Linked DNA regions of Macaca mulatta. The protein of the gene in region 1 purifies or fractionates together with the protein of each later gene. This does not show direct contact. Links are inferred from orthologs where the notes say so. Each region holds a gene or a part of one and is shown on either strand. Other genes may lie near its edges.

The links.
Region 2: the proteins of WDR59 (region 1) and SESN2 purify together in Homo sapiens (affinity purification with western blotting; 4 studies listed by BioGRID and IntAct, with this or other methods). This does not show direct contact. The link is inferred for Macaca mulatta from reciprocal best matches to the Homo sapiens genes WDR59 and SESN2.

Annotation. Positions count from the first base shown.
Region 1 is NC_133425.1:70,195,189-70,206,702, reverse strand, and holds part of WDR59 (GATOR2 complex protein WDR59), read left to right. Parts: intron 1-2,135; coding exon 2,136-2,248; intron 2,249-3,614; coding exon 3,615-3,765; exon of another isoform or gene 3,766-3,829; intron 3,830-4,126; exon of another isoform or gene 4,127-4,170; coding exon 4,171-4,243; coding exon of another isoform or gene 4,244-4,247; intron 4,248-5,537; coding exon 5,538-5,664; intron 5,665-6,138; coding exon 6,139-6,281; exon of another isoform or gene 6,282-6,514; intron 6,515-11,514. UniProt on the Homo sapiens protein: As a component of the GATOR2 complex, functions as an activator of the amino acid-sensing branch of the mTORC1 signaling pathway. The GATOR2 complex indirectly activates mTORC1 through the inhibition of the GATOR1 subcomplex.
Region 2 is NC_133406.1:212,660,591-212,672,104, reverse strand, and holds part of SESN2 (sestrin-2), read left to right. Parts: intron 1-3,507; coding exon 3,508-3,573; intron 3,574-6,271; exon of another isoform or gene 6,272-6,308; coding exon 6,309-6,506; intron 6,507-6,907; coding exon 6,908-7,090; intron 7,091-7,204; coding exon 7,205-7,417; intron 7,418-7,936; coding exon 7,937-8,087; intron 8,088-8,619; coding exon 8,620-8,738; intron 8,739-9,404; coding exon 9,405-9,595; exon of another isoform or gene 9,596-10,027; intron 10,028-10,627; exon of another isoform or gene 10,628-11,514. UniProt on the Homo sapiens protein: Functions as an intracellular leucine sensor that negatively regulates the mTORC1 signaling pathway through the GATOR complex. In absence of leucine, binds the GATOR subcomplex GATOR2 and prevents mTORC1 signaling.

The DNA.
Region 1 (11,514 bases):
GTGGTTTTGTTTTGTTTTTATTTTTTTGTGATGGAGTCTCACTCTGTCACCCAGGCTAGAGTGCAGTGGCATGATCTCGGCTCACTGCAACCTCTGCCTCCCGGGTTCAAGTGATTTTCCTGCCTCAGCCTCCCGAGTAGCTGGGGTTATAGATGTATGCCACCAAGACCAGCTAATTTTTGTATTTTTTAGTAGAGATTGGGTTTCATCATGTTGGCCAGGCTAGTCTTGAACTCCTGGCTACAAGCGATCCTTCTGCCTTGGCCTCCCAAAGTGTTGGGATTACAGGCATGAGCCACCACACCTAGCCTTTTTGTTCTTTATGCTTGTGTTGAAGATATGTTTACTATTTTGCAAAGAGTTGCAGAAGTAAATGCAAGAGTCACTGTTTCTGTTAAGGACATTTAGGAAATGTATATTATCAGTGAGGAAATAACATGCCTAAATTTTTAGCCAGGGTAGTAAACATCTTATCTTATCCCAGAAAGTCATCAACTTCCTTTAGTACTGATTCACTAGGTCATTGATTATAGAGATGAATGTGAACTTCAGGTTTCTCCTTTTCGATAATACCTTCTATATATTTTTCAACTATGTTAGTGCTACATGATTTAATTGATTTTGCATGCCTAATGCTTCTCTACCTGTTTCTCAGTGTCTTTGTTTGCCTATTCTTTCTCCTTAAGATTGCAAACTCCTTGATTCAAAGTCCATATCTTCTTTCTTTTGAGTATCTCAGAGTCTAGTATAATGTTTTCCAGTTAATGGGTATACAGTGATGTGCTGCTACTAAGAAAGGTTTTCCAGACAATAGTATTTGATTTTTTTTTTTTTCCGAGACGGAGTCTCACTCTGTCGCCCAGGCTGGAGTGCAGTGGCACAATCTTGGCTCACTGCAACCTCTGCCTCCTGGGTTCAAGCGATTCTTCTGCCTTAGCCTCACAAGTAACTGGGACTACAGGCGTGTGCCGCCACGCCCAGCTAATTTTGTATTTTTAGTAGAGACGGGGTTTCACCATATTGGCCAGGCTGGTCTCGAACTCCTGACCTCGTGATTTGCCCTCCTTGTCCTCCCAAAGTGCTGGGATTACAAGCGTGAGCCACGGGGTCCGCTGTATTTGATTTTTAAAGGTATTGTGGGGGTGGGGGCTTTGCTTATGACATGATGGGTGTAGCCTATGCCTTGGACTTAAATAGACACTTAGTGGCTATTGGTTTCTGCTCGATGGCTCCAGGCCCCATGGGATTTCAAGTCGGGAGATATTCCTCAGATTTGATGTCAACAAAAAGAAAGCCAAATCCATTTTGTCTTGGCCTATTTTTATTATTCTTACATTTTAGCTTCAGAGAGGATACTGAAACTTTTATAATGAAGGCAACAAAGTCTTTCATTATTCAGGTAAAGAAGGACAGATCTTAAATGTGTTACAGACTGTCTTTTTTTTCCTCCCTGCCAACCCCACTTACTGATGAAGCAGCATTTTAAAAAGTCATGTGAGGTTAGGCACAGTGACTCACACCTGTAATCCCAGCACTTTTTGGGGCTGAGGTGGGCGTATCACTTGAGTCCAGGAGTTCCAGACCAGCCTGGCCAACATGGCAAAAACCCATCTCTACTAAAAATACAAAAATTAGCCAGGTGTGGTGGCGCATGCCTGTAATCCTAGATACTCGGGAGGCTGAGGCAGGAGGGTGGCTTGAACCCACGAGGCAGAGGTTGCAGTGAGCCGTGACCGTGCCACGGCACTCCAGCTTGGACGACAGAGCGAGACTCTGTCTCAAAAAAGTAAAATAAAATAAAAGGTCATGTGAGTTAGTGGTTAAGTAGATGACCCATTGAAATTATTACACTGTGTCATTTCTCTGAAGCTTGCTTTTAATGAGAAGTTTTTAAGCCTAGTGTTTCTCAAACTTTAGAGTGCGCTTAACTCCCCGAAGGAGTTGGTGAAAATGTAAACGCTGATTCAGTAGAACTAACTGGGACCTAAACTTCTGCATTTCAATAAGGTTCCAGCTTTTGCTGCCCCCAGAGTAGCAAGGCATCGGGTTTTATATGGAAGACAGATGGGGTTGCTTCACGGTTTCGGTTCTTGTCCTTGCCAGTTTGAGTTTGTATTTCTCTTTGATCTGTCCAGGTTTGGTCGCTGGCTACGGTAGCTACAGATCTTTGCCTTGGTCCGAAATCTGACCCAGATTTGGAAACACCCTGGGCTCGACATCCATTTGGGCGGCAGCTGCTGGAGTCCCTGTAGGTTATGAGAGCTAAAAGTGAGAAAAATGAGTGATGTCCGTTTTTGGTCTGTGAACACTTGAAATGTCATCACCTAAGAGAAAGGTGCAGAGGCCCGAGGAATGAAAGGAAGGAGTAGGATCTTTCCTTTCAGTGCTGAAATAATTTCTGTGCAGAACAAACTTCTTACAGCAGACAGAACTATACAATACTTGTCATTTATGACAAGGATTTGAGACCCCTGAGACTCATGTATCCTTTAGAGATTCATGCGTTAGTCCACAGATCACGTCAGTCTGAACACAGGAGTTTGAGCTCATGATATGGTAAGTTTCTTCTTGAAAGCTCTAGGGTCTCACCTTTGAGAACTGTGTGTTGGTGTTCATGTTTGCCAGAGACCACGACACTTTCACCCTGTTAGGCAATTCGAGAAAACACTGCCTTTGTGTTCAGTTTATTGCACTGACATGTGGCAAACTGGAATATACTATACAATATAATTTAACACGAAGTAAAACCATTTGAATCTCCATAACTTGGAGGCCCAGGGCCTGGGGAGAGAAACGCTCCTGCCTTCAGGTTGAGGTTTTATTTATGCATTAAGGCCACCCCTGGGACACGTGTTCATGCTTCCGTTTCCTTGTCGCTAACATAGGGATGATAAGGTTTGCTCTACCTACTTCGTGTAAGACTCAAATAAGATAGTGAGTGTGAAAACACAAATATTAGACATTGAGTGATAGGAAGACAGTAATATTATTCATTCTTAAAGGCAAAGCCCCTCTGATTCCTTACTCACATTCTAGCCTAATCTTCCTGAAAGGACAAAGGGGATATGAGTACCTAAAGAGTAGAAACACTCCTTGTTGTTCTTACCTAATAGCTCATCTTCATAACTGCACCTCCAAAGTCGATTGCCTGCTAGCATACTGTGGTGGTCCAGTGTCCTCTGGGCTCCTCCATGTAGCTTTAGGTTATATAAATGGCATGTATGGGAATCCCCCAAAAGCAGTGTGATTCTTCCTTGGAGCTGGGAGGACAGAGAGCGTGTATTGGCTCGTTCAGATGTCAGGTTAGTCCACTTAATTCTTGGAGAAGCCAATTCATGTTTAAGCCCATGCCTGAGTGTTAGCCAGAGGCTTTGAGATGCGTTCTGTAGATCATTTGTAATACGTCGATGTCTTATATTCCAAAACAAGTTTAGGCAAACTCAAAGTAGGTCAAACCACTGGATCTGTAGAAAGCCCTCATTCCTGACGGTTTTTGAGGCCAAATCAAGAATCCTCGCATCCCACCCCGTGACAGTAACACGCCATGACTGTGATCGTGTTCCCCCTCAGTCCCTCCTCCTGACTTGTCTTCTTTCCTCTCACCTTTTCCTCAGGTTGGCTCACTATTGCCGGCTCCGGGATGTCCAGACACTGGCAATGCTCTGTAGCGTGTTCGAAGCCCAGTCTCGGCCTCAGGGGATACCAAACCCCTTTGGGCCTTTTCCCAACCGTTCTTCTAATCTTGTGGTGTCCCATAGTCGATATGTAAGTTTGTCCTTTTCTGGTTTTGTCTGATTTTTTTTTTTTTTAGATGGAGTTTTACTCTATTGTCCAGGCTGGAGTGCAGTGGCACGATCTCAGCTCACTGCAACCTCTGCCTCCTGGGTTCAAACAATTCTCGTGCCTCAGCCTCCTGAATAGCTGGGATTACAGGCATGCACCACCAATCCCAGTATATTTTTGTATTTTTAGTAGAGATGAGGTTTCACCATGTTGAGCAGGCTGGTCTCGATCCCCTGACCTCAGGTGTTCTGCCTTCCTTGGCCTCCCAAAGTGCTAGGATTACAGGCATGAGCCACCGCGCTTGGCCTGCTGTTTTCTTAATGTGAACTGTCATGGGGAACAGTATTCTGATGCTAGTCCTGTTGGTTCTTCTCTTTCCATCTGTAGCCTAGCTTTACCTCTTCCGGTTCGTGCTCCAGTATGTCAGACCCAGGGCTCAGCACTGGCGGCTGGAACATAGGTTTGTATGGAAATGACTTAGCCCACGCCGGATTTTTAGTTCTCTGATAGCTGTGCATATGTAAGCTTTAGTTGATGCTTAGTCTCCATATTTTTTCTTGTTTCTTATTTCTCTTTACATGTACTGTGATAGGGATCCTCTTGCTGGAGGCCTGGCTTTGCAGGTTGAACAGGCCACGTTCTGGGGGTCTTTGTGCCTTTTGCTGTATTGCTTTTCATCTCATAACCTTGAGAAACTGACAATGGGACTTCCCGCTGTTCACCCCCAAAATCCAACCCTTATCCTTTCTCCTTCACATGCCCTTTCCATGTTCATCTGCCGCCTACTCCTTCCCACAAACGCTTTCAGTGTAGACAAATACAGCTGGATCTGACTCCAGCTGATCATAAAGCTATTTGCGGAGTAGGTGTATTTGTATTTCCTGGAATTTTTTTAAGAAACAGTTTTTTAAAATGATCTTAATTTTCCTGATTTCAAAAGTAGCTCATGCCCAGTGAAGAAAAGCAAACACGAAGTATTAGAGAAGAAAATTGTAATCGTTGATCTCCCACCTAGGAATAGCGTCCATTAACGTTCTAGAACATTTCCATCCATTCTTTGTGTGCAGGAGTGTGGTCATTCCATATATGTGACTTTGTGTTCTATTTTTTATTAAATCATGAGCAAATATTGTTCAAAAAGTCTTTGTAAATAATGACTACATAACATTCCACTATATCTCTGTGCCATCATTTGCTTTATTTATTTATTTAGTTAGTTAGTTTTTTGAGATGGAGTCTTGCTGTGTTGCCCAGGCTGGAGTGCAATGGCGTGATCTTGACCCACTGCACCCTCCACCTCCCAGGTTCAAGCAATTCTCCTGCCTCAGCCTCCCGAGTAGCTGGGATTACAGTCACGTGCTAGTATGCCCAGCTAATTTTTGTATTTTTTTTTTTTTAGTAGAGATGGGTTTCACCATGTTCGTCAGGCTGGTCTCAAACCTCTGACTTCAGGTGATCTGCCCGCCTCGGCCTCCCAAAGTGCTGGGATTCCAGGCATGAGCCACCATGCCCAGCCCATCATTTGCTTTAGCATCATGTGTGTGTACTTAGCTATCAGGTTCTCTTAGTAATAAATACCTGGGCAAAAAGGTAAGGGTAGGAAAGAGTTCTGTTTAGTTACATTTCTCAGAGTATTCAGCCTCACTTACTTTTCTTCTGGGAAATCCATTGGCCACACGCGGTCTTATGAGACTTCAGATATTTTCCATGCCTTCTCTGATTGCCATCTTCCCTTCGCATTTGATTTTCTTTAGCGGGGAGAGAGGTAGAGCACTTGTCCTCCCCCTGGGGAGAATCCTCACCGGAAGAGCTCCGCTTTGGGAGTCTGACCTGCAGTGATCCCCGGGAGCGGGAACGCGACCAGCATGATAAAAATAAAAGGTAACCACCCTCCCAGGTGAGAGCTGCGATGCCAGGACTCCAGTTTCTCCACAATCACAACTCTTGCGCCTTTTTTTTTTTTTTTTTTTTTTGGACACAGAGTCTTACTCTGTCGCCAGGTTGGAGTGCAGTGGCGGAATCTCAGCTCACTGCAACCTCTGCTTCCCAGGCTCAAGTGATTCTCCTGCCTCAGCCTCCTGAGTAGCTGGGATTACAGGCACATGCCACCATGCCCAGCTAATTTTTTGTATTTTTAGTAGAGACAGAGTTTCACCATGTTGGCCAGGCTGGTCTCAAACTCCTGACCTCAAGTGATCTGCCAGCCTCGGCCTCCAAAAGTGCGGGGAGTGACAGGTGTGAGCCACCGTGCCTGGCCAGGACTGTTGCTTTAAGAAGGGCATGTTAAGTGCCATTTAGGATCAAGCTCATTTTTTCTTAAAGGAACTGACAGGAAATCTTTTTCACTTTCTCTAGGCTCCTGGACCCCGCCAACACCCAGCAATTTGATGACTTTAAGAAATGCTATGGGGAAATCCTCTACCGTTGGGGTCTGAGAGAGAAGCGAGCCGAAGTGTTGAAGTTTGTCTCCTGTCCTCCTGACCCTCACAAAGGGATCGGTGAGTATGCATTTCTCTCTCTCTTCCTATCACTGTCTGAAAGATCCTGTAATTTAATTTGTCCACAGCATCAGACTTGGAATGAAGTTTCAGCTTCTCATTTCTAAGCAGAAATTTCAAAGGCATTTTGAGTCCATTCCAAGCTTCTGAAAAGCCCTTGCATTTCATAACAGGATGAAATCTTTTTTTTTTTTTTTTTGGGATGGAGTCTCACTCTTGTCGCCCAGGCTGGAGTGCAGTGGTGCGATCTCGGCTCACGGCAACCTTTGCCTCCCGGGTTCAAACTTCTCCTCCCTCAGCCTCCCAAGTAGCTGGGATTATAGGTGCCTGCTATCATGCCCAGCTAAATTTTTGTACTTTTAGTAGAGATGAAGTTTCACCATGTTGGCCAGGCTGGTCTCGAACTCCTGACCTCAGGTGATATGCCTGCCTCGGCCTCCCAGATTGCTGGGATTACAGGTGTGAGCCATGGCGCCTGGTCCAGGATGAAATTTCTATTGCAATAGAAGTAGTTTATATACAGTACTCCAGCGTGGATCAGAGGGATGGATATTTCTTCATTTATTCCTCTATGTGTCCAACTCCTCTTAGGCACAGTGCCCACACATTCCTTCCCTGCATGGAGCTTACAACTGAGTGGGGGGGGATATTAAATAATTTCAAATAAATATTCACAAGCAAACAAAAACGATGTGGGGGCAGGGAGAACAGAGAGGGAGAATCTTAAGAGAGGAATTGAGGTGTGTTAGGAAGGCCTCCAAGGAGCTGCGGTCTGAAGGTTTAAAGGAACCATGGAGCCATCAGTGCAGAGTGGTGAAAAGAGCGTCCCACACTGAGGGTCAGGCCCCAGGGAAATGACTGTCGTTGTGAACAAGCGAAGGAAGGTGGCGTGGTGTGGCTGGAGTACAGTGGGGAGAAGAGCGGTATCAAATTAGAGTGTAGAGTACTTAGGATTGTGTCAGGCAGGGGCTTGTAAGTTGCAGTAAAGAATTCGGATTCAGCCAGACATGGTGACTCACGCCTGTAATCCCAGCACTTTGGGAGGCCAAGTCCGGCAGATCACTTGAGGCCAGGGGTTTGAGACTAGCCTGGCCAACATGGTGAAACCCCGTCTCTACTAAAAATACAAAATTAGCCAGGCATGGTGGCGCACACCAATAATCCCAGCTACTTGGGAGGCTGAGGCAGGAGAATCGCTTGAACCCAGGAGGCAGAGGTTGCAGTGAACCGAGATCATGCCATTGCACTCCAGCCTGAGTGACAGAGTGAGACTCCATCTCAAAAAAAAGAAAGCAAAAAACAACAACAAAAAAGAAACAGTTAAATGAATGGAAAAGATTTCATCTAGGGAGTGATGAGGTGGGCAGTGGCAGGGAATGCTGGGTTTTGTAATAAGATGCGTAGAATGATTTGACTCTCTTAAATTGTGTAGGTATAGTTTCTTTTCCTTTCTTTTCTTTTCTTTTTTTTGTTTTTGAGACAGAGTGTGTCTCTGTTGCCCAGGCTGGAGTGCAGTCACGCGATCTCGGCTCACTGCAACCTCTGCCTCCCAAGTGCAAGCGATTTTCATGCCTCAGCCTCCCAAGTAGCTGGGACTACAGGCGCCCGCCACCATGCCACTTGTATTTTTAGTAGAGACACTAAAATACAATACAATTAATAGGAATTTTTAGTTGAGATAGTAAAATACAATACAAATACCACTTGTATTTTTGGTAGAGACGGGGTTTCGCCATGTTGTCCAGGCTGGTCTTGAACTACTGGCCTCAAATGATGCGTCCGCCTCGGCCTCCTAGAGTGCTGGGAGTACAGATGTGAGACACCATACTTTCTATTTGAAGAAACAAACTAGAGTAATATGTAGGTTTAGGTAGTGAATTTCAAGGATTATTTTAACAGAGATTATGTTGGTATGTGTACCTGAAGAAATGTAAAGACACAAAATGCTATGTGGGCAACATTTTTTCAGAGCATCTAAATGTATGAAAGTATCTCAGGAAAAGATTAATGATGGCCTGGAGCAATTTGTCTTTTAAAAATTAGTTTTCAGGAAAACATGAATCATGGAGATACAGAGCTGATGTATCAGCCCATCAGTTAGCTAAACCCTTATTGACATCTGCTTTTATAAAGTGTCATGCTGGATTCTGTGGGATGTACAAAGAAATAAAAAGTGTGGTTTGGCGGGTCAAGATGTCTGTAGTGCAGTCAGAGAGTCTGAAATACAAACTCAGGAAGACTTAATGGTAGTTAAGGATGAATAATGTATCCTAACTTCAATAAAAGCAATGTCACAAGGTTTATAAAGCAGGGCAGGATTGTAAAAGATGGACTCACAGACAAAAGCAGTAAAAGAAGTATTTTCTTTTCTTTCTCTTTTTTTTTTTTTTTTTTTGAGATGGAGTCTCGCTCTGTCGCCCAGGCTGGAGTGCAATGGAACAATCTCGGGTCACTGCAACCTCCACCTCCTTGATCATCCCATATCCACAGACTTCAGCATAGCAAATTTGAGGGACAAAGTTAGTTTCATTGGGATTCAGTATTTACAGATGGGGCTCATGGTTTCATTCATTTTATGGGGATACTGTTAAATAGAGTATTCCCTTAAAGAAAGTCTCAGGATATAAGATGATGTTTTTGTTTTTGTTTCTGATTGTGGTATGTGATGTGCTTGGTCTTAATGGTGGCAGAGCAAAGCGATTGCTTTCCCAGCCTCCTCATGGGGAGAATTCCCTCCCTAGAGGCACAGAGCTGCTCACCTAAATTTCGTTCAGCAGTTTATTGGTTCAGTATATTAATTTAACGTCTTATTTCTTTGGCCAGTTTTATTTACTTTTGTGTAATAGGTGATGTTGATTAATACACAAGACTTTTTGTTGTATGGTTGACAAACTGGAGCCATATGATCCTGCACCTTTGGAATTCGCTTCCTCCTGGAAGTTTTGAAAAGCCTTGGAATCATGCTTTGATTGTTCTATGTGCTGGGAGTATTTTTATGGTCTTTGTTAGTTTGTCTGTTAGGACCCAAGAATGATTCATTTCATCCCTATCAAGTTTCACTGGCAAAACCTATCCTGTCGTCCTGTGCCTCTTACCTGTGATCCTCAGGGTAGTCAGTGTTTCTGGCCTGTCAGGAAATGACATCTGTACTTTGTACAAGGCTGGGATTCCCTAAGCCAAAGAAGTTTCCTGGGAGGACTTGTGGGCTGCATGTCCACATATGAAGCAATCTCCTCCCCTTCATAATGACTTATCATACCTAGTTTATTTTATTTATTTATTTATTTATTTTTTTGAGATGGAGGCTTGCTCTTTCGCCCAGGCTGGAGTGCGGTGGCGCAATCTCGGCTCACTGCAAGCTCCGCCTGCCGGGTTTACGCCATTCTCCTGCCTCAGCCTCCCGAGTAGCTGGGACTAGAGGCGCCCGCCACCATGCCCGGCTAATTTTTTTGTATTTTTAGTAGAGACAGCCTTTCACCATGTGAGCCAGGATGGTCTCAATCTCCTGACCTCGGGATCCGCCAGCCTCGGCCTCCCAGAGTGCTAGGATTACAGACGTGAGCAACCGTGCCTGGCCGTATCATACCTAATTTAAATGAGATTTGAATCTAAATGTGATGTTTTGGGCATGACCTTGGCTGTAAATTTGATCTATCCATGTATATCGTGATAAGGAGGAGGGCAGCTTCTTTTATTTTTTATTTTTTAAATTGTTATAAAATAGAGACAGAGTCTCACTATGTCGTCCATTGTGGTCTCAAATTCTTGGGTTCAAGTGATCCTTCCATCTCAGCCTCCCAGCATGCTGGGATTAGGAGCATGAGCCGCCACACCCAGCCCCAGCAGACTCACTGAACCTGTATAAATATTTTGTCATGGAAAGAAAAGGCCTTTGTGTGGTACTTACCCATTGTTCTGAGCACTTCTGCAGATGAGGTTAATCAACATATGATATTTCCTATGGAATTATTGTTCTAAGGTTTCCTAATGATTTGGTATCTTGTAGTCTCTATTAAGATCTTTTTTGGATTTTTTTTCCTCCTGAAGGTAATTGGAATAAGATACCATTGTCAGAGTGTTTCATTTCAATGTTTATCATGTGTTAAACTGAGGGGTAGAGATGGAGCAAAAAAAAGGAAAGAATGTTTTCTCCTTTCTAGTAGAAAATAGATCATTAGCCAGAATTAAATTTTTCCATCAGTTGTATTCAGTCTCTGCTAAGTAATTCTTGTTCTAATTATCTTGGAATCTCTACCCATCTGCTTTCACTAAAGTCATCTGCTTCTGAACCAAAAAGTCCTAGAAATCCTGATCCATTCCACAGCCTGACAAGTGTCTCCTGGTGGCAATGGTGTTTGGCTTGTTTGTTTTTTGAGACAGAGTCTCACTCTGTCACCCAGGCTGCAGTGCAGAGGCATGACCACAGCTCACTGCAGCCTCGACCTGCTGGGCTCAACAACCCTCTCACCACAGTCTCCCGAGTAGCTGGGACCACAGGCATACACCATCATGCCCGGCTAATTTTTTAGAAAATGTTTTTGTAGAGATGGGGTCTCGCCATGTTGCCCAGGCTGGTCTCAAACTCCTGGGCTCAAGTGATACCCCTACCTCGGCCTCGCAAAGTGCTGGGATTACAGGCATGAGAAACTGCTTCTGGCTGGTGTCAGCTTATTTGGAAAGTTGGTATTCAGGAATCTTCAGTAATATCAGTAGTGAAGAGTACCTTTATTAGTGCCTAAAGAGGCTTTATTTTGACATGTCTTCTATAAGTTTCTATTTCTGACCTATTGTTTATAGCAGGTGACTTTAGGCAAGTGTGAGGCAAAAGCAGAAACTGGCAGTTGGCAATAATGCGAAATGGCTCTGGCTAGTTTATGATAACAGTATCGTATGGAGCAGAAAAACACGTAATCATTTCTTAAGGATTCAGTTAGTGATTCCCCAACACTAAAATATTTTGGACTCTGAGGATATTGACAAATCTCCAGGCTCTTTTAATTCATCCCGTAAAATGTTTGTAAGGTTACTGCCAAACGAAAGGAGTACTCTATTTTCTTTTTAGTTTTGTTTTCTTTTTTCGTGGAGGGGGTGCTGTGGGGGGAACAAGGTCTCTCTCTGTTGCCCAGGCTGGAGTGCAGTGGTGCAGTCTTGGCTCACTGTAACCTCTGCCGCCCAGGTTCAAGCAGTTCTCCTACCTCAGCCTTCCAGGTATTATAGGTGTGCACCGCCACGC
Region 2 (11,514 bases), on another chromosome or scaffold:
TTTCTTTTTTTTTTTTGAGACAGGGTCTTGCCTGTTGCTCAGGCTAGAATGCCGTGGTACGATCATAGCTTGCTGTAACCTCAAACTCCTGGGCTCAGGCAATCCTCCTGTCTCAGCAGCCTCCTGAGTAGCTGGGATTACAGGTTGTGTGCCACCATGCCCAGCTAATGTACTATTTGTAGAGACAGGGGTCTCACTGTGTTGGCCAGGCTGGTCTCAAATTCCTGGCCTCAAGGGATCCTCCTGCCTCAGCCTCCCAAGGTGCTGGAATGAGCTGCTGTGTCAGCCAAGGGCCCCTATCTTTTTTTTTTTTTTTTTTTGAGACAGAGTCTCGCTCTGCCGCCCAGGCTGGAGTGCAGTGGCCGGATCTCAGCTCACTGCAAGCTCCGCCTCCTGGGTTTACGCCATTCTCCTGCCTCAGCCTCCTGAGTAGCTGGGACTACAGGCGCCCGCCACCTCGCCAGGCTAGTTTTTTGTATTTTTTAGTAGAGACGGGGTTTCACCGTGTTAGCCAGGATGGTCTTAATCTCCTGACCTCATGATCCGCCCGTCTCGGCCTCCCAAAGTGCTGGGATTACAGGCTTGAGCCACCGCGCCCAGCCGGGCCCCTATCTTTTAACTGCACTGTATATTGTTGTTATTGCTGAAAATGTTGATGGATCGAGACCCATGTCTTAGAGCTCCTTCTTTTGACAATTCCTGGGTCAGATTTTGGAGTGAGTTGGGATTCCCAAGGCTATTCCTGTCCTTCCCTAGCACCCCTGATGGGCCCTCTCTGCCTCCCCCAGTTCTGCTCCACCCTACCCTGCTGTGGCTTGCTGTTCTGTCCTCAGGTCCCCTGAGGTGGAGGCCCAGTTTGTGGAGTCAGCAATCCTTATCTCCTTTACAGAGCTGTGGGGCTTTTTCTTTGGTGAGGGGGGAGGGAAGCTCCAAAGGGGAGTGTTTAGGGATTGTGGTGGTTACTACGCTGAACTTGGACCAGCCTGGCCGGGAAGTTCCCAGAAGTGTGGGCCTGCACAGTCAGCTCAACTCTCTTTTTGAAGGTAGCGGGGCTACTTTACCTACCAGGATTAAGGCCTAGAGAGTTTAGGCCTTTAACTTTCCCAGAGCCACATAGCAAGTTAGTTGCAGAATTGGTACCTACTCCAGAGACTTTGTAGTCTTCTGGAGTCCCAGAGCTCTGCCTCCTCACTGGGCTTTTGGCCATCTGAGAAGGAAGGTTCAATTTTAGTTTTTAGTTCCCAGATACGTGAGGGCTGGTACTAAGTCTACATCTTAATGGGGAGGGGAGAACTGGGCGCCTCCTATCCCTGTCCAGTGAGGGCATGGCTCTGATTTGGGTAAACTGTAACCAAGGCCAGTGCTGAGAGCCGCTTCCACTCTCAGATTAACAAAATAAATGAATACGTAGAGCATCCTTCCTGAACCCCATCTCTAGGACTAGGAGAAGCAGATGTAGTGAGTACATGATTTTAGTGGTTTCTAAAGAGGCTCCAGCATATACAGGTCAAAATGGTTGCTTCCATCAGCCTTGGACACCCTGCTTGGATTCCCTCCATGCCTTTCGGCTTTCTCTGTCTTCATTCACAGGCTAGTATGAATGGCCTGGCACTGCTGTCCACTAAATGTGATCTGGTAGCAGGGAAACAAAACAGACAATTTGATGACAGTGTTTTTAGAAGCAAAAACCCTGGGAATTTTGGGGTCATAGGTGAGGGGTTCCTAGATGCCATGGTTTAGCTTTGCAAAAGGAGTGACCAGTAGGACTGGGCCAGTAATTTTATCTGGAAGCCCATGGGAAGGGGAGGTAGGATTTTAAGTCAGCTGATCAGATTTATATTCAGAAAGTTAATGTGGCTACTGGGTAGAGGATGGATAGGAAAGGCCAGGGCTGAGGAGGCCGGAGGACAACTGGTGAGGCTCTGAGTAGTGGTCCAGACAAGAGAGGGTGTTAGTTGATGAGGTGTTGGTGGTGGGAGGACAGATAAGCAGCCAGGCATGATGGCTCTCATCTGTAATCCCAGTGCTTTGGGAGGCCAAGGCAGGAGGATCCATTGAGCCCAGCAGTTTGAGGCTATAGTAAGCTATGACTGCATCACTAAAGAAGAAGGGGCCAGTTGCAGTGGCTCATTCCTGTAATCCCAGCACTTTGGGTGGCTGAGGTGGGCGGATCACCTGAGGTCGGGGGTTTGAGACCAGCCTGGCCAACATGGAGAAACCCTGTCTCTACTAAAAATAAAAAATTATGGCCGGGCACGGTGGCTCAAGCCTGTAATCCCAGCACTTTCGGAGGCCGAGACGGGCGGATCACAAGATCAGGAGGTCGAGACCATCCTGGCTAACACGGTGAAACCCCGTCTCTACTAAAAAAATACACAAAAACTAGCTGGGCTAGGTGGCGGGCGCCTGTAGTCCCAGCTAATGTAGTCCCAGCTACTCGGGAGGCTGAGGCAGGAGAATGGCATAAACCCGGGAAGCGGAGCTTGCAGTGAGCTGAGATCCGGCCACTGCACTCCAGCCTGGGCGACAGAGCGAGACTCTGTCTCAAAATAAATAAATAAATAAATAAAAATAATAAAAATAAAAATAAAAAATTAGGCGAGGGCAGTGGCGCATGCCTGTAATCCCAGCTACTTGGGAGGCGGAGGCAGGAGAATCGCTTGACCCAGGAGGTAGAGATTGCAGTGAGCCAAGATCACGCCATCGCACTCCAGCCTGGGCAACAAGAGCGATACTCCGTCTCAAAAAAAAAAAAACAGAAGAAGAAGAAAGAAATGAATGAACATGTGAGAGAAATTGAAGCTGCTTCTGAGGCATCTGGGGTACTTGGCTACCTGGCTTCGGGGTGCAAACTGTGGGGTGTTCTTGTTTTTTTTTTTTTTTTTTTTTTGAGACGGAGTCTCGCTCTGTCGCCCAGGCTGGAGTGCAGTGGCGCGATCTCGGCTCACTGCAAGCTCCGCCTCCCGGGTTCACGCCATTCTCCTGCCTCAGCCTCCTGAGTAGCTGGGACTACAGGCGCCCGCCACCGCGCCCGGCTAATTTTTTGTATTTTTAGTAGAGACGGGGTTTCACTGTGGTCTCGATCTCCTGACCTTGTGATCCGCCCGCCTCGGCCTCCCAAAGTGCTGGGATTACAGGCGTGAGCCACCGCGCCCGGCCTGGGGTGTTCTTGTATAAGTTCTCTGGGACCACTGAGAAGGTGGCCTCCTGGAGATGTGCAGCATGGTGGCTATATAGTTCCTTCTCCAGGACCCTCCCATCCCACATGCTGGGATTCCTGGGTCCCAGCCCAGTTCCTGAAGAACTCAGCCTGGAGTGAGCCCTCTTTCTTGCTTACCCTTCCAAACGTGCATTTATCTCCCACCTGGCTCCGCCATCCAAAGGATGCTAGAAAGGTGGGTTTAACAGTTCAGTGGAGCCCCTTGGATAGGAGGAAGAAGCTGGATAGGTAATAATCCTCTTTATTCTCCCTTCTACTGCGGACTGACCTCCATGTGTTCCCCCCAGGAGCAGAGGGAGAGTCGGGCTCGGCGAGGCCCTCGAGGGCCCAGCGCCTTCATCCCCGTGGAGGAGGTAAGCTTGGAAGGGATTAGGGATCTTTTTTCCCTAGGAAGAAAGGACATGGCATATTGGTGGGCAGGCGTCTTTTCTTGTTCCTTAAATTACAGCTTTTAAACTATTCCTTTCTGATTTCTGATTCATTTAATTCACAAAACGGCTCTGTGAAGCAGGCACTATGAACTTCATTTTACTGGGAAGAAACAGGCTGAAAGAAATCAAGTGCTAATAGCCAGGTAGTGGCCAAACTTTTTTTTTTTTTTGCATGGCCAAACTTTCGATTCCTAGATCAGTGCCTGTTTCCCTTAAGAAGATAGAACTATCTGTGTTTATCTTCTCATCCGTGACTGTACATGTTCTTTTCTGTTTCAAAAGTAATATATGTTTATTATTTTTAAAATTTCCATTGTTTCAGAAAGCTCTGATCTCCTGTATCTTCCTACACCCTCCAGAGATTATCACTGTTAACCATTTGCCACTGTTTACTGTGCTTTGTTCAAGCCAATACTTACTTTCAGTACAGAACCAAGGTGATAGTTTACAACTTGTTTTTTTTTGTTTTTCACTTAATACAAGAAAGACATCCTTCATCTACTGAGTCAGTTCATTCATTCATTTACTTAACATATCTATTGAATGATTAATCTGTGTGAGGCACTGTTCTGGTTGCTTGGGATACAGCAGTGAACAAGACAAAAATCTTTGCCATTATGGAGCTTATATTCTAGTGTGTTGGGATAGCGGAGGTACCTTCAAAACATGCAGAAAAAGGTAAAACTAGTTTCCTCATTTTCTTTGGCCTTCAGTGAACAAGGACAAATTTTTTGTTTCACTGGGCGCGGTGGCTCACGCCTGTAATCCCAGCACTTTGGGGGGCCGAGGCGGGCAGATCACGAGGTCAGGAGATCGAGACCATCCTGGCTAACACAGTGAAACCTCATCTCTGCCAAAAATACAAAAAATTAGCCAGGCGTGGTGGTGGGCACCTGTAATCCCAGCTACTTGGGAGGCTGAGGCAGGAGAATGGCGTGAACCCGGGAGGCAGAGCTTGCAGTGAGCCGAGATTGCACCACTGCACTTCAGCCTGGGCAACAGAGTGAGACTCAGTCTCAAAAAAGAAAAATTTTGTTTCCTCTCCTCTTTGCTTTCCCTGAATGTGTAGGGCGAGTAGTTAATGAGGTAACAAACGTTTAACCTCCCTCTAAACCCCCCTGTTCCTCCACTCCTTGGTAAATGTAAGGTGAACAACCACTTGCTGATTATTTATGTCTGTGGCCCATAATTCCAAGCTCAGGTATTGCTCTTGTGTTTTATTTTTTCATTTATAAATGACCACTCTTTTTTTTTTCTTTTTTTTGAGACGAAGTTTCGTTCTTGTTGCCCAGGCTGGAGTGCAGTGGCGCGATCTCGGCTCACCGCAACCTCTGCCTCCCAGGTTCAAGCAATTCTCCTGCCTCAGCCTTCTGAGCAGCTGGGATTACAGGCATGCGCCACCACGCCCAGCTAATTTTGTATTTTTAGTAGAGATAGGGTTTCTCCATGTTAATCAGGCTGGTCTCGAACTCTGGACCTTGGGCGATCTGCCCATCTCTGCCTCCCAGTGTCCTGGGATTACAGGTGTGAGCCACCGTGCCTGGTCCACTCTTTTATAATAAAGAAAAGAAACAGGCAGCCAGGTGCAGTAGCTCACACCTGTAATCCCAGCACTTTGGGACGCCAAGGTAGAGGGATCACTTGAGCCCAGGAGTTCGAGACCAGCCTGGACAACATAGTGGGACTCTGTCTGTATTTAAAAAAGAAGAACCAAATAGGCTTTGGAGTTCATCTGAATTTGAATCTGATTCTGTCATTTGTAAGATCTGTGACTTTGAGCAAGGAACAAAACGTCCTGGTTTCCTCATCTGGCAAAGTGGGGGAAATAATAGTATTCACCTCACAGGCTTATTGGCAAGATCCCATGACATCATGCAGAGAAAACCGTAAGCTCAGAGATGGCATGGAGACAGCACTCAGGAAATGTGAACTATTTTGCACCCGCCCCCATGGTTATATGCATTTGCGGTGTTAGAATAGACGCTCCTGCCGGGCGCGGTGGCTCACACCTGTAATCCCAGCACTTTGGGAAGCTGAGGCAGGTGGATCACAAGATCAAGAGATCGAGACCATCTTGGCTAACACGGTGAAACCCCATCACTACTAAAAATACAAAAAATTAGCCAGGTGTGGCGATGTGTGCCTGTAGTCCCAGCTGCTGGGGAGGCTGAGGCAGGAGAATGGTGTGAACCTGGGAGGCAGAGCTTGCAGTGAGCCAAGATTGCACCACTGCACTCCAGCCTGGGTGACAAAATGAGACTCTATCTCAAAAAAAAAAAAAAAGAAAAAATAGATGCTCCATGAAGGGAGGAGAAACCGTACTTTTACTCTCTGTACCCGAGTTTTCCTACCTAAAAATGGAGAAACAGAACTCCAGTTTTGTTGTTGTGAGAGTTAAATAAGTTAAAATATGCATGCTTGAACAGTACTTGGCACATAGCATCGTATGTGTAAGTACTGGCCGTTATTATATGAGGTACGTAACAAGTATTCATTGAGTGACTTATTAAAATATCTGATTCTTCCCATTGTTTCTTTTTGGACATGGTGGTGGTTTTTACTTTCTTGCCATTAGAAACCCACTGGAATAATACGCTGGTCTCTTTGATGAGTGGGGCAGGAGGGAAACCCATGCTGTCCTCCCCTTTGCTTGGCAGGTCCTTCGGGAGGGGACCGAGAGCCTCGAGCAGCACCTGGGGCTGGAGGCACTGATGTCCTCTGGGCGAGTGGACAACCTGGCAGTGGTGATGGGCCTGCACCCTGACTACTTTACCAGCTTCTGGCGCCTGCACTACCTGCTGCTGCACACGGATGGTCCCTTGGCCAGCTCCTGGCGCCACTACATTGCCATCATGGTGAGCCTCTCTGGGCCTGACACTTGGAGAGGTGGCTTTGTGGAGGGTTCTGTCCTTTGATCTCTTTTCTGGGAGCTTTGTGAACTGATTCCATAGACAAGGAGGGAAGGCGGCATAGAGCAGGGAAAGCCCTGGCTTTCTATAACTGTAGAGTTTTTGGTTTTTTCTTGGAAGGAAAATTTTAGGTTTTGAAGAAAGGCATCATTAGTGCTTGCAAACTGAGGTGCAAAAAGGAATCAGGTGGCCTGCAAGCTGGTGGCAGAGCTGGGGTTACTTAGAACTTAGGTTTCCTGCCTCTTGGGCAACAGTGAGCCCTACAACCTCTCCCCTGATGGGGTACCCACCCTGAGCCAGGCACCAAGGGAGGAGGGTGACTCAGGCTCTGTCCACTACCTCCGCAGGCTGCCGCCCGCCATCAGTGTTCTTACCTGGTAGGCTCCCACATGGCCGAGTTTCTGCAGACCGGTGGTGACCCTGAGTGGCTGCTGGGCCTCCACCGGGTGCCCAAGAAGCTGCGCAAGCTCAGCGAGATCAACAAGTTGCTGGCGCATCGGCCATGGCTCATCACCAAGGAGCACATCCAGGTGCAGGGGGCAGAGAGACGGGTGTCTGAGGGAGCACAGAGGCCTGGCTGGTGCCTGGTGGGTAGCCCAGGGCAGGCACTGAGCAGCTCTAACCTCCCGTTCTGTCCCCTCCAGGCCTTGCTGAAGACCGGCGAGCACACCTGGTCCCTGGCCGAGCTCATTCAGGCTCTGGTCCTGCTCACCCACTGCCACTCGCTCTCGTCCTTTGTGTTTGGCTGTGGCATCCTCCCTGAGGGGGATGCAGATGGCAGCCCTGCCCCCCAGGCACCTACACCCCCCAGTGAGCAGAGCAGTCCCCCGAGCAGGGACCCGTTGAACAACTCTGGGGTAAGTCATGGGCCTGGGTCTTGATCGGGGAGGAAGCAGGCATGACCTCTGGTCCTTAGGTAGAAGCTACTGCTTCCCAATCTTTGGTGCCTGCACTACCTGCTGCTGTGAGAGACCATAGAAAAGTTATTTGACTTTGAAGCTCAGTTTCCTCATCTGTGAAATGGGGAGATAAGACCCTCTACTCACACTGGGCTGTGAGGCTCAAAGGCTGTTGGTTTTAGCACTTTCAAACTACAAAGTTTACCTTTCACTGAATAATGTGGCCTTGTTTGTTTTAATACAAAAATACAGACACTTTAAAAATTTCCTCTCAGGGAAGTTGTGTCTATTCTGTAGCTTCATAAATGTCACTTTAGGAAGCACAGACCCATGCGCTGTCCAGCACAGTGGCTGGCACAGGGGATGCCCTAGGCCTTTGTGAGCATTAGGAAGGCCTGGCCTGTGGGAAGGATGTGTGGAGCTTCCCAGAGGCCGAAGGAGGAGGAGTAGCTGGTCACCACTGGCCCTCTCCTGCAGGGCTTTGAGTCTGCCCGTGAAGTGGAGGCACTGATGGAGCGCATGCGGCAGCTGCAGGAGAGCCTGCTGCGGGATGAGGGGACGTCCCAGGAGGAGATGGAGAGCCGCTTTGAGCTGGAGAAGTCAGAGAGCCTGCTGGTGACCCCCTCAGGTACAGGATCACAGGCATCCAGGCTCCTGGGGCTGCTCCTTCTTAGGCTATCTCTGGTCAGGAGGAGCTGCCTCCTGTGTTCTAGAGGCAGCCGCTTCTCAGCTTCCCGTCCAAGAGGTTCTGAGCCTGGGCCTTGAGCTCAGACCTTGCTTTGAATCCTGAACTGCTAGCCTTTCTGGCTGTGCGACCACTGACGAGTCACTTCCTATCTCAGGGCTTCAGGATTGCTATGTGGGGTTAGTGGGGCAGTAGAAGCAAAGATCTTAGCACAGAGCCTGGCCCAGGGGGAACCAATCCATAAATAACTTCCACTTAAGTTATTGTTACCAGGGGCCTCACTTCACGGGTCCATGGGCCTGATCCACCCCCTCCACAAGGCCGGGCTCCAGCTGAGGTCTTGCCCACTCACTATAGCAAGGGGCTTTTTTGGCCCTCTATTCTGCCTTCCCCTCCCCCGTTTGGTGATTAATCAGGAGTGGACGCCTGCATGCCCCATGCCCCAGCCTCACTGTGACCTCTTTCTGGTCCTCAGCTGACATCCTGGAGCCCTCTCCACACCCAGACATGCTGTGCTTTGTGGAAGATCCTACTTTTGGATATGAGGACTTCACCCGGAGAGGGGCTCAGGCGCCCCCAACCTTCCGGGCCCAGGTGGGGCTCTCTCTACTACTCTTGGCCATTGCTCCACATTTACGAACATGCAGTGGGTGGATAGTTTGAGTAGTTATAGAGTTAGGTACCCAGCTGGGCATGGTAGCTCACACCTGTAATCCCAGCACTTTGGGAAGCCAGGGTGGGAGGATTGCTTGAGCCCAGGAGCTTGAGACTAGCCTGGACAACATGGCGAAACCCCGTCCCTACAAAGACATTTAAAAATTAGCTGGAAGGTGGTGCATGCCTATAGTCCCAGCTACTTGAATGGCTGAGGTGGGAGGATCACTTGAGCTAGGAGGTCAAGGACGCAGTGAGCTGTGATTGCACTACTGCGCTCCAGCCTGGGTGACAGCAAGACCCTGTCTCAAAAAAAAAAAAAATAGAGTTGGGTACGTTATTTCCCTCAAGATTCCACGAGGGCAGTGGGGTCCCTGTGAATCCTTAAGGAACCCATCTATACCCTAAGCTCAGGGGTTGGTGATCGTAAGGAGAAGGTCATCACCAAAGTGTACCTTCCTTGACATCTGAGGCCCAGAGCAAGCAGCACATTAGGTTTATGGCACCAGGAAGGAGAACTATGGAGATCCAAGGTACAGAGGAAGGGGGTCTCTCTGGCTGGTCTTGGGCTCCAAAGACTCACCAATCCCTTCCCACCTACCTAAGGATTATACTTGGGAAGACCATGGCTACTCACTGATCCAGCGGCTCTACCCTGAGGGTGGGCAGCTGCTGGACGAGAAGTTCCAGGCAGCCTATAGCCTCACCTACAATACCATCGCCATGCACAGCGGGGTGGACACCTCCGTGCTCCGCAGGGCCATCTGGAACTACATCCACTGCGTCTTTGGTATCAGGTGAGCCCATGTCCCTTCACCTGGGGCACATGTGCACTGCGAGTCTTCATTCCGGGTTCACGGTTGTTTCCGTTTTCGTTTTGTTTTTGTTTTTTTTCTTTTCCTTTCTTCTTGCCTATACTATTTTTCAAATCAAATTGTGATTTTGAAAGATGATAGTACTCATTGTTTGAACGTTGTAAATGAAACTCTTTAATTGCACTCCCAGAGGTAACTATTGTTTGATATGTATGTACATATATATACACACACACACGTATATACACATATACATACATATACACATACACACTATATATATATATGTAGAGAGAGTTGTGTTTGTATTTCCATTCCAAGTAGTAATTCTTCTCTCATAATAAATAAGGATAACATAAATGCTCAGTAGGGGACTTTAAATAATGATACATCTATTCAGTGAAATATTATGCAGCTATTACAAATTACAATAGGCCGGGCGCAGTGGCTCACGCTTGTAATCCCAGCACTTTGGGAAGCCAAGGCAGGCAGGTCATGAGATTAGGAGTTCGAGACCAGCCTGACCAACATGGTGAAACCCTGTTCTACTAAAAAATACAAAAATTAGCTGGGTGTGGTGGTACGCATTTGTAATCCCAGCTACTCAAGAGGCTGAGGCAGGAGAATCGCTTGAACCCAGGAGGCAGAGGCTAAAGTAAGCCAGGATCGCGCCACTGCACTCCTCCAGCCTGGGTGACAGAGCAAGACTCTGTCTCAAAAAAAAAAAAAAAAAATTACAATAGAGGCCAGGCTTGGTGGCTCATGCCTGTAATCCCGCACTTTGGGAGGGCATTGTGAAAGGATTGCTTGAGAAACAGGAGTTCAAGACTAGCCTGGGCAACATAATGCAACCTCCATCTCTACAAAAAATTAAAACATTTGCCTGTGTGGTGGCATGCACCTATAGTCTCAGCTACTTGGAAGGCTGAGGTGGGAGGATCTCTTGAGCTCAGGAGGTCAAAGCTTCAATGAGCCATCATTATACCACTGTACTTCAGTCTGGACGACAGAGCAAGACCCTGTCTCAAAAAAAAAAAAAAAATAGATGTCTATTTGTATTTCCGTGGGAAAATATTCAGATTGTATTGAGAGAAAAGAAAGCTAATTACCAACAGAAATCTTCTTTATGTTCTTTTGTATATTAAACAGTTTGTGCATGCATGGAAAATGTATGGAAGGCTATACACTAAAATACTGTTTAGTGGTGATATCTCTGCATACTATTATATGATGAATTACATTTTCATCTTTTTGCTTGTTAAATCTTTTCTGATTTTTGTAAGGTGATGGGATCAGATTTGACATGTCCTGTAATTTTCTCTATCTGGGAACTACCTTATCAGCACGAATAGATATTTTATTATTATTATTATTTTTTTTTAAAGAGACAGGGTCTTGCTCTATTGCCCAGGCTGGTCTTGAAGTCCTGGGCTCAAGCAATTCTCCTGCCTCGGCTTCCCAAAGTGCTGGGATTGCAAGCATGAACCACTGTACTCAGCCTGTTTTATGCTTTTAACCACTGCATGGTATCTGTGAGCATGGATGTATTGTGATCATTCAGTCATTTCCCTATTATTGGATATTTAGGTTGTTTGCAGATTTTCACTATTACAAACACCATGTACGCATCTATGCATAAGTCCTTGTAGATAAATCCTAGATGTGAAATTACTTGTCAAGCATATATGTAGAACAATTAATTGTTTATTTAAAATAAAACAGCTGGGAGTGGTGGCTTGAACAATTAATTTTTTATTTAAAATAAAAACTCTCAGCTGGGAGTGGTGACCTACACCTATAACCCCAGCGCTTTGGGAGACTGATGCGGGTGGATCACTGGAGTCCAGGAGTTCGAGACCAACCTGAACTACATGGTGAAACCCCATCTCTACAAAAAATAA